Drosophila melanogaster: one gene and its partners. The protein of the gene in region 2 interacts with the protein of the main gene of each other region in a pairwise test. Each region holds a gene or a part of one and is shown on either strand. Other genes may lie near its edges. The genes, in order: RNF220, CG14932 and Ndf.

Region 1 (3,757 bases), on a different chromosome or scaffold from region 2:
TATTTATTACTTAAAATGAAACATTTGTAAATTATAGTGGAATAATTTATCATTTTTGTGATTCGAAAATAATATTGGATATAATATTGGATTGATTGCTTTTTTATTTTAGTTCAAAATAAGGTATTTAAAATAACTTGTTTGCATGTCTTTAAACGCTTTTCCCTTCCTACATGCTAATTTCGTTAAATAAACTTAAATATTAATTATGTTTTCTGCGGTTTATTGCAATAGTTACATGGTAGGCTTATTGTAATGTCACGTAGTATAATTGGTATTTGTAATCTATATAAATAATATGTATAGGGGATTATCATCTAAAGCTGCGTCGGGATGCAAAGCCTGTTTTATGGCGCAAGCAATTTGGCAGCGGGGATAACAAGTCTGTGATGGACGTCTACAGGTAGATTCGTCGCAGGTCCTTCGGCGTGGTAATCGAGTTGCACTGCGGGCACAGCTTTCGCGCGCCGAGCGTCTGCAACCAACACTGCTCGCAGTGGACGTGCCAGCAGGACACGGAGATGGCGGGATTCTTGTAGTCGTCGATGCAGATCAGGCACTTGTACTTGCCCTGCGCCTGCTTTTCGTAGAGCCGCAGCTTGGCCTTCAGCGATTCGATGATCTGCTGCTGGTTTTGGGAGGTGGATCGCGTGGACCGCGACGTAGACGGCTCCTCGCTGGCTGGTGGAGCCTCCACGTTGCTTGTGCTGGCAGGCTCTTGCTCGGTGGCTTCGCTGGAATGGTTTGGCTTGGGCCCATCGCTGGAGGAGATAAGTCGGCGCACGTAGCTGGTAACATCCGCCTCGGAAACATTTCCCTCTGTGTCCTCGTTGACCAGTGGGATCACATCGCCCTCGCCATACTGCGTAGGACCATAGATGTGAGTGTCATCCTCGTCCACGTTGAGATCTTCGTCCTCGTCGTCCTGCGCCTGCTGACTGCCATTGTATTTGATTCTCTGGCCCAGGCCCAGGGCGGAATAGCCTCCTTGCACGAGAGTGGAGACGCGAATGCGCTTCTGTCCCGCCCACTCGTACTCTTCATATTCCTCGCTGTCCTCCGAGTCCTCACTCGAATGCCGCTCACCATTGGCCTGACCATTGCGGCGGCTCTGGCGCAGGCAATGATTAACATGCTCTTGGATGTTGGACTGCGGAAAGTTGTGGTTGCACACGGGACAGGTGGGTTGGCTCGATTCGGCAGCAGCTACGGACGGAGTTGCTGCAGCTGGAGGAGGAGCAGCTGCTACCGTAGGATTTACAGTTGCTGGTGGGGCAGGAGAAGCCGGACGCTTCCTGGTGCGCTGGCGCTGACGGGCCTGCCGATTGCGCTGCACCCGCTGGAACACGCTCCACGGTTGTCTGCCCCCCGATACCGAACCGGATTCCTCGGACGCGGTTGCTCCGCTAGTTGGGGTCGGTGGAGTGACAGCGCTAATGGGATTGTGCAATCGCTCCATCTCCACTTGGCAGTGATCGGCCACCTGACTGCGCTTGATCTTCACGTCGCATGTGGGACAGATCACGTCGTCGTCGCTGTTTCTGCTCAAGTGCTGGGCGAAGTTCTCGCCGTTGGACACCGTGTCCGTAGCCATCGATTCCTCGGATCCACCGCGGACTCTTAAGGGTAAACGAAGTTAAAAGATTCTGTAGTCGGATTTTGTTTTGTTCGATAATCTCTGTCCAAGCCACGCGACGCCGATTTCTTACGTTCTCGTACGGTGGAAAACGGTCACACTGATTTCGTTATTTTTCGTGTCAGTGGAAGTGGTCATTGCGATATACATCGTAAAACCGTTACAAAAGCGCCAAGCACAGTGATTAATATGCTTAAGCAATAATTAAAATTTTATTCACTTAAAAATATCTTTATAATAATTGATTATTTGTTTGAATTCCGTGTTAATTAAAACTTCAAAGTTTGCATTTTGCATTCCAACAACTCTTTTGACCTTAAGTCTTACAATAAAATAATTAAACGTACTGATTTCTTAATTTTTACTCTACTCTGGTTGGTCTTAATACAGCAATATATATATATTATCAGATTGCGTTGTTTACATGCCCGATATAACATGTGACAGATAGTGTCTCTCCCTCACTGTTAGGAAATTTTTATAAAGCACAGCCCCCGCTTTGATAAAAGTTTAAACATCCGAAATGTAAGCTATTTTAATTTCCTTTCTTCGTTAAATTAAATAATTTGACGGTAAATGTAAATTAACTGATAGTTCCATGGCACTTTATCGCTATCGAGAAATGCCCAGCCAAAACGATAGTATCGAGACAACATCGATTTAAGTTCCAGCTCTATGAGGGAAGCAAAACATTATTATTTTCGTCGTTTTTATTTTTTGATTATATAGAAAAGTCAGTGGTCGAGGAACATGTGAAAGTGGAAAAGCGACAGAGCTTTTCAAGCAGAGTGTAAGTGCATACAGGTTGAACCCAAAACCGACGCATATTTTTGCGAAAGTGCAAAGCAGACGGCGAGAGTGTGAAAAGGCAGCGAAAAGAGAATAGAGAAAAAATATAGCAGCCAGTTTCTCCTGGGCGTGAGTGTGTGTGCGTGTGCCATATTGTTAAATAAGGCAAATATAGTAAAATAAACGTAGAAAAAACAGCAACAACTATGCATCAGCAGTACCAGCAGCAGCAACAACAACAGCAGCAGGGTAACCTTGTTGGCTACAACAACAAAATGAACGTCTTGCCCAATTACACGCTCAGCGGAATGAGCTCCTTTGATGCCGAATCGCTGCCAGATTATTCAGAATTTGATTCCGAATCGGTAACCCTGGACTATTACAAGGAAAGGTATATTCCTGAACTCAAACAGATCGCATTTTGTTTTGCTTCCGTTCTTCCGCATAGCACACAACACACACACACACATATATAAACATACGTGTATACGAATTCCCTCGCCCTTGCCATTGTTGTTGTTTTGCATTTGGCCGTTTGCCCCAATTTTGCCTGCCGTTACCGTTACGTTCTATATAGCAATTAACCGTTATGATCCTGTTGCCATGCCACTCATTCACACACACACACTCACACACACAAAGTCGGTACTCGCTCATCTGCGAAATGTGTTTTTGTTTTTATTCCACATTTCTAGCCGCTATATGTAAAACTATATTTATCTCCGTCTAGCCCGTCGAAATATCTTGAGATACATTAGACGCAACATCTACTTACACAAACATATGCATCTTTGTTTGCGTATCTGAAGATATTAAAATTGGCAGGGAATCGTGCGAATTAGGCATAATATGCAGTTTTAACGAAATTTTGATACACTTCCTATTTGTTAGCAACTATTGAGCAAGATCGATAATAAGAAGACTCTGTTTTATAATATTTGTTCAAAATTTCATTTCAAGATGCTGATATTTTTTTTACAAACGTACATAAATTGTCACAAGTCTGACCTATTCTATTGTACTCTCAGTTAGGGTATAACAATGGAATGCGAATGGATAATTAGCATGTCGGTATTTCCAGCATTCAAAATGCTTAGTTGCAGTCCGCCTTGCAGCATAATTTATGTGGGGACTGCACCTCATCACCCCAGCTTCCGTCTTTTGTCATTGAGCCAAAATACGCCCCCCAATGATGACTGAAATATTCCGTCGCGTTTTTGTCTGGCACAATAGAGCGATTTCAATTTAAACAATCCCAAACTCATTCAACTGTACCAACGCATTGTTTTGTAAATTGCGTCAGTTAATACAAAACATACATACTACATTGAT
Region 2 (3,419 bases):
TCACCGTGGACTCAATCAATGCGAACGGATGCTTGCCTGCGTTCGTTAGTGCGGTGTGGAACTGCTTTTACATCCTGATGGCGTTATGGGTCCTGGCCCTTAAGTTTCTGGTAAGTAATTGGTAATGGGCAACGTTTTAAAGTCAGAACAATGGTGAATATTGGAGCCATATTCATTAAATTCTGTCAAATTCATTAGCGTAAGTCATATTGAAATCAAAAAATTTGAATATGCAACAAAATTGTATTTTAAGATAAGACCTCCCTAAGTCAATCATCTTTTTAGATCGTGCTTTGTTGTATGACCAAGTTCATAGTTCACCGGCAGAACGAGGGCGATGGCTGCGATAATGTGGGACTCACGGACGATGATGGACATCCCTTGGTCGTGGTGGTGGGTTTATCCATTTACTATCCATCGATAGCACCTAAATCAGTCCATTCCCCAGAAATATCCGTGTAACGTGCGCTGTGTAACAATTGCCGAGGATGATCTGGTATCCGACAACGTTCCCGATATTAACTACTGCAATTGCACCGAAATGGACGACGAACCGTGTGGATACTAATATTGTGCTTAATTTTACTTTTATATTTTATATTAATTTAATTAAATTTACGAATTTGAGTTAACTTCATATCCAATCGGTGAACGCAATATATTATTTATTGGATATTATAGGATACTTATTACATGGATGTTGTAACATTGGATGTTAAATGGATTAACGGCGCATCCTCTTGGATTTCTTCAAAGTCTGACCCACCAGTTGAGCAATATGTTTGCGCAATGCCAAGAAAGGCTTCAAGCAGACGCGCTGCTCGACGAGACCCACAGCAATGCGGTGAAAGAACTCGGTGACATCCACGGGCTTGGCCAGCAGCTGACCTTGTGATACCGAGCCGTTTTCCTCTGAGGCCTCGGGCGTAGGGCTACGTGCCATTCTACGGATGAATGGTTCCAAGTTGCCCCTGCTACGTTGGGAAACGCGAGCTCCAATGGACTCTGATAGCGCATTATTGGCGCGAGAGAAGGTGAGACGCTCCTGAGATCCCGAGTCGTTTTGATCCGGAGTCTCTGGCTTCTGTATCACCAGTTCGGGTGAGGTGGGGTTTTTCTTTGGAATTTTCGGAAACTCGGTAATTTCGGTAATCTCCAAAGCACTGTGGGGACGTCTTCTGTAGAGAATCCGAACCCGTTATTCCACGTTCTACATTACGAAACTATAACTTACGGTGTACCCGCCTCATAAGTGACATATGGGGACCAGTCTGCCCCATCCAAATCCATACTAAAAGGTTCACAAAATGAAGAAAAATGATTTTGTTTTATAACATTAAATTTACTCACTCATCTTCGTTGGAACAGTCATCATCTTGATCACTTTCCCTGATTATAAGGCAACTTAAAAATAATCTATCAAAACATTATATTAAAAAGACTTACACAGAAGACTCGCAGGTAATCTCGTCACTTTCGGGAGCACTAGAAAGGAAATACATATATTGTCAGTGTTTTTCTGAAGCTAAATTAATGAAGTCTTACGTAGCTTCTTGATATTCATCATCATCGCCCACAATATGAGGAACCTTTGATTGGGACCTGCAATGAATAATCCATCAATATATTTAATGAACTGCTTTAATTTTAATTACATTTTTAACAAATTTTCAACGCCTAGCTCCTGGAAAATGACAATGTGAAAAGCCGTGCGGCCAGTGTGTCCACTCCAAGGAATGTTTAATAAGAACATCAGTGTTGATCAAAATACTGTTGAAAACTTACTGGAGCATATGTAATTAATATATAAAATTCAGTTAAAGCTCAAGTCACGTGTTCTTAACATTTAGTAAAAATAGAAATTTATACTAAAGGTTTTGGTAAATTTGAGCCTTAAAATTTTGGTTAAGTTTAGCCTTAAAATGGCAGTTAAACATAAAAAGTTTAAATTCCTATAAAAAGACGTACCAGTGTTGTACAACAGGCTTAATTTACAAACTTCCAAATACAAATGTAATTATACATATTTATGTAAAGTCAAGCCATCACAATTTAATTCCACCTTTGGAAATGTTTTTATATATTGGGTGTTCGTTTTTATTGAACTTGACATGCTTATGACTAAATAGTTAAGGAAACTGGAATTGGAATAAATACAGCTCGACCAAAAACACAAGCCACAATTATGCAATAAATTCAATCCTTTAATGTGACATATAGTTAACTTATTCGAGTACTCTTTCTTAGACATATGTGGGCTATAAACATTGTAAAATCTCTACTGCATTCGATTGGGAAACATAAACCACAAGACATGGGCGGAAATAGCCTATTCCTGGCTGATTTCATTGGCATCTGAGAAATCCGAGACGGCGACGCTGCTGGTGCTGATTAAATGTCGATCGGGCATTTCGCCGATGGAAGGAAGAGTGGTGCTATCGCTGGCGCTGGACAAAGATATCTCCTCCCAGCTGACGCCGGAGTCGCATTCGTTGCCCGGGGAAACGGGTGTGGCGTCGGCATTGTGCGGCTCATCCTCCGGTGCCTGGCCAATGCTGATAGCCGGCGTTGCTCTGGAACGTTTGCCAACTAGTTCGACGTTTTGATTGCGATCCGCAGCAATGCGCTTGCGATCGGGAATTTGATTGCCCGTGGTGGGACTCCAGTCCATGGCACGGTGCACCAAAGCCCGAAAAGTTATACGGATCGGCTCGCTCGGTGGACTGTCCATGTCTGAGGGATTTCTTCTGGACACTTGCGGCGACATGATCATCGTGGAGTTGTGCAAAGCACTGGGATGCGAAGTCAAAAAATCAGACTCGCTCTCCTGTCGACATTAATGAGAAGCTAATTACTATTTATTGTTTATTGTTAACTGAATACTTTTCCCACGTGCAGAGCCCTTTCTAGATCCTCATCCTGGGGACTGATACTAGCTGATTGCTGCACGACACTTGCTAATTCGGTCATTTCCTCAATATCCATGCCTTCCTCGTAAACGCCTGCGCCTGAGCAAATAGTTAGTTATATATGTATGTATGTTAAGGACGTCTAATTTAGAATATCTTACTTTTGAGGAAGTCAACTAATCTCCTGTTTGTTCGGCTGCGTAACTCCATTTTCAATGGGACAAAAACAACAACTTTAGTACTAATATTATGTGGTTACAATGCATTTGCTCTTGTTCTTGCTGCTAACGGAACTTTTCGCCAAACTGAAATCGTCTATAACGCCATATCGATAGTTAAGATGTGATCTCAAGTAATGGTCACACTTAGAGATGGTGCAACAAGTTTTCGAGTTGTATGTGAAAATATTAAAAACTATTTAAAAAAAAAAAAAAACGATAAGGCTCTGAAAATGTTGTGGTTATTATAAAGTGATATAAGTGATTAAGTTCTATAATGTAACTTGATAAA
Region 3 (3,757 bases), 1.8 Mb from region 2:
TTAATTGCCCGAGATGTTCTCTAAGGCCTCTAAATAAGTAAATGCTCTGCATTATTTGAGTTCCTTTAACATGTGCGCAAGTGAATAGGGTATTAATTGTCTAAGCAATTGGATCGATACGATCCACCCCAAATTATCCCTTGATAAAGTGAGTGGTTTTCATAAAAAAAAATCAAGGATAATGCAGGAAAATAATATGATAATCGGATCACTTGGAATCTACTCACTCGAATCGGAATTGGATGTAGCGCCGTTGTACATCGCCTCAGTTGAACAGCTGCAAAGATATTTTAATAGTATTACGTACAATTTTATATTATGTTTACAATAATATACCAAGTTAAGGGTCTTCAATCCAAAATGCAATCCAGTCCAATATTTTCTGAAAGTCAAATCAAATGTAAATTAGCAAACATAATTTTAGTTAGAAATAAATACATATTACTAAAATCCTACGTTCCAACTTTCAATATGCGCGAAACCGACTGAATTCCATTGGCAATCATTTCCAATATTCCAACCAATTCCAAACAACATGCTCACACACGCATACATGTACATACCCACTTGTAAACAGAGAAGCGGCTATTTTCAAAGTGTCAGCACAATTGGAAGATCGTAAACAAGAACGGAACTTGAGATTCAAGACACTTTCGTCTGGAAGTCAGAAAAAAGTTAAGTTACGACCAATAGTTCACATATAAATCTATTATACTTGAGTAAGAATAATAAATATTTGCTATTATTGGTCAACGGAACCGACTTTTTTTGCACAGCTAGAATGAAGAAGAGCAGGAAACTAATTCTTGCCTTCCAAATTAATCGATGTTTTAAGCTTTAAGATAAGCTCGATATCAACTTTTATCGGAATGGTCAGATCGGAATTTAAAAAAAAAAACTTTAATTTCTCCCCAACTCAAATTGAAACACACAAACAAATGAATGTACTTAAACCCTTTTTTTTTGCTAGCGAGTATGCGATCAAAACTAGAGAAACATATGTACGTTTTTTCCCTTATAATTGATGGCAATCTGGTCCCAATAAATCCTTCTCACCCATTTCGCGCCTGCTAATTGCCAAACAAAATGCAATAATTCAACCCAAAAGCACGCTTTCTTTTCCTAGCACAAATACAATACCCCTTTAACGGCCGCAATTTCCCTTTTTCACCCTTTTGTTTGCCAGGTCACCCGAAAAGTTTTACCGAGCAGGGTTGTCGCATGACCCCCCGCAACCCACAACCACAGCAGCAATCGCTTTTTATTCTCTTTTTATATGATTGTTTCATATTTATGAGGATTATATGGCTGATGCTGAGTGCTGAGAATCAGAGAAAAATTGAGTTGGACGTGTGGTAATTTATTTTTCGGCTAAGGGGACGGACTTGTAGTTAACTGTTAGTTTTCCGAGCTCAAGATCGCACAGATTATAAAGAATTTACTGTGCAATACTAATTAAATTTATCTTTATCATTATTTTACTTAAACGGAATTTGTATAAGCCAAAAAACAAAATTTATTAATAATCTCCAACTAAAAATGTGTATCAATGAAATTATTTTCTTATGGAATTAAATTTCAATAGTTTATGCCCGCCTTTGTATTTAACATCTAAACATTAGAATTAAATAAAGTATTTAAAAAAAAATTTAGCGTATAAAAAGCATGGATTGATTCCAAGTGCATTTTACGAATTTGCATTGAATCACGATAATAATATTCACTTGTAATACTTAATTAAATAATTTAATTCGGAACCCATATTAATTTACCGAGTTCGAGGCGGGTTGGCAGTCCGATTGCATGACGTAGCAACGCCGCCACTTTCCAGCACTGGCCGATTGCCAGCCAAAATGGCGCCCGCCTGCTATCGCATTGCTCGAGCAGATATCGGTTCGGCAGCGCATCACACACACAACGCGAAAAAAAAAAGAAAAATACGGGTGGCCTGCAAGCGAATATCTCCGAAATTCATTGAATCCCGACGCCGAGATTTGTGCTCCGATCCGAGAAACCCATTAGCTTCCGTGCACCGTCCGCCCAAGCCAGCAAAATAACCAAGTTCAACATACGCCTGGACAACATAATGTCGAAGAATAAAAAACTGTCGCTGTCGGGCGGCGATACGACGGAGAAATTTATTTACAAACCCAAGGATCTGATATGGTAAGCCGGGACCGTGGACTCATCAATATATTCGCTGTATTCTCAGCTGCGCTGCGCCGTGAAGAAACAAGAAAAAAAAAAAAACGAGAGATGAAAATCAAAGCAAACACCTAACCTCAATTGCGCACCGTTGGCGCTCGGAAAAAAAAATATGAAGAAAAAAAGAGCCAGTGAAGTGTGCATAAAAAAGCAATTAGCGCTGCCTTTTTGACAGCCACGCAGCGCAGTATCCATGTAGCTCCATCCGAATGACGACCATAATTCCGGAGCTACGTGCGTGGATTCCGGGCGCGCGACGTCGACTTCGCTGCGTTGGCGCTTTTTTCGCGCGCGCGCCCTTTTTTCTTGCTTTTCCTCCTTGCGGCCAATATGAGTTTTCCCTGTTCTGATAGCGCATTTTCTTTGCAGGGCCAAAATGAAGGGCTTCACTCCGTGGCCAGGAATGGTAAGCATTGCAGTTGGCGATCGGAATGTTTACGCCGCGTCGACGTCGCGTCGCTGCCGCCTTCTCTGCTGCCATGTTGTTGTGTTTGTTTTCGACTGTACTTTTCGATTCAACGCTGCCGGCTTCGCTGCCGCCGCTCTGCCCGCAGCCACGCACTTGCACACATTGCCCCATTGCCGTTGTGGTTGTTGTTGTTGCCGCTGTGCTGTTGTCGCTGCCGGCGGAGGAAATGGTCTCTTCCATGGAGCCGCTATCGGGGGCCACGAGCAGCAGCTTTTGATCGTGTGTACAGCCGCTGGAAAGCAGCATGTGCACTCGGAGGAGGGGGAGTGACGCGCGGCAGGCGTGGAGTTTGAACACAGACGTTGCCAAGGATATCAGTTCCCAGTTTCGTTATTCTATGCCGTTCAAAAGGAGTTTTGTTAATATATTAACTTTTATTTGACATTAACATTCTCATCGGTAATCTTGTGATATACCAATCGGTTCTTTAGAGTTTTGTGAAATGTGCTAATGATAGTGAATCACCTCAGCTAAGGTTTTATCAAATCAAATTGGTTTTGTGCAAGTTGCTAGAAAAATGAGGATATATTTTTAAATCCTTATAATTCCTAGCTCAAATGTAAAGTTAAAGAGTGGTTTTCGATTGAAATTGGAAGTGAAAAAGCAACATTTGCATATGTTTTGTTTCGTGCGTGATAAAGTCTTGTAAATGGGTTATCACAGAATAGATTAGTTCGAGGGAATTCATAGGCACATCCTTATAGAGTAAAATGCATTGTCTGCTTAAAATGTTTCTGAAGACTTTAAAGATATGATGTGGTGGAAGCTAATGTTGATTTCTCTCCTTAGATTGTCGATCCTCCACTTGATCTGCTCAGCCAGCAGCGTCGGGCGAATACCAAATGCGTGTTTTTCTTTGGATCTAGGAATTTGTAAGTAAAATGCACGCCAACCCCAAAAAGCGCCTGTAATAACATGGGTAATATTTAACAGTGCCTGGATTGAGGAGAACAACATCAAGCCCTTCGAAGGACCGTGGAAGGAGGAACTGGCCAAGGTGAGCAAGCCCGCTGCTTTCCGACACGCCATGACGGATATCGAAAAGTACATCGACGACCCCGCCGAGGTGGACGAGCAGGTGAA

The links.
Region 1: the proteins of CG14932 (region 2) and RNF220 interact in a two-hybrid assay, tested with the Drosophila melanogaster proteins (one large-scale study listed by BioGRID).
Region 3: the proteins of CG14932 (region 2) and Ndf interact in a two-hybrid assay, tested with the Drosophila melanogaster proteins (one large-scale study listed by BioGRID).

Annotation. Positions count from the first base shown.
Region 1 is NT_033777.3:22,724,676-22,728,432, forward strand, and holds RNF220 (ring finger protein 220), read right to left. Parts: upstream 1,740-3,757; 5' UTR 1,595-1,739; coding exon 398-1,594; 3' UTR 209-397; downstream 1-208. Other genes in the region: CG45049 (uncharacterized protein), read left to right, coding at 2,632-2,816.
Region 2 is NT_033779.5:11,788,242-11,791,660, reverse strand, and holds CG14932 (uncharacterized protein), read right to left. Parts: upstream 1,743-3,419; 5' UTR 1,658-1,742; coding exon 1,656-1,657; intron 1,603-1,655; coding exon 1,546-1,602; intron 1,486-1,545; coding exon 1,447-1,485; intron 1,390-1,446; coding exon 1,351-1,389; intron 1,292-1,350; coding exon 1,235-1,291; intron 1,179-1,234; coding exon 725-1,178; 3' UTR 650-724; downstream 1-649. Other genes in the region: Tsp33B (tetraspanin 33B), read left to right, coding at 1-110, 286-393, 449-568; CG14931 (uncharacterized protein), read right to left, coding at 2,330-2,827, 2,884-3,008, 3,071-3,119.
Region 3 is NT_033779.5:10,001,961-10,005,717, forward strand, and holds the start of Ndf (Nucleosome-destabilizing factor), read left to right. Parts: upstream 1-1,871; 5' UTR 1,872-2,086; coding exon 2,087-2,166; intron 2,167-2,349; exon of another isoform or gene 2,350-2,574; coding exon 2,575-2,611; exon of another isoform or gene 2,612-3,083; intron 3,084-3,463; coding exon 3,464-3,546; intron 3,547-3,607; coding exon 3,608-3,757. UniProt on the Drosophila melanogaster protein: Nucleosome-destabilizing factor that is recruited to genes during transcriptional activation and colocalizes with a subset of trimethylated 'Lys-36' histone H3 (H3K36me3)-enriched regions. Binds DNA (in vitro).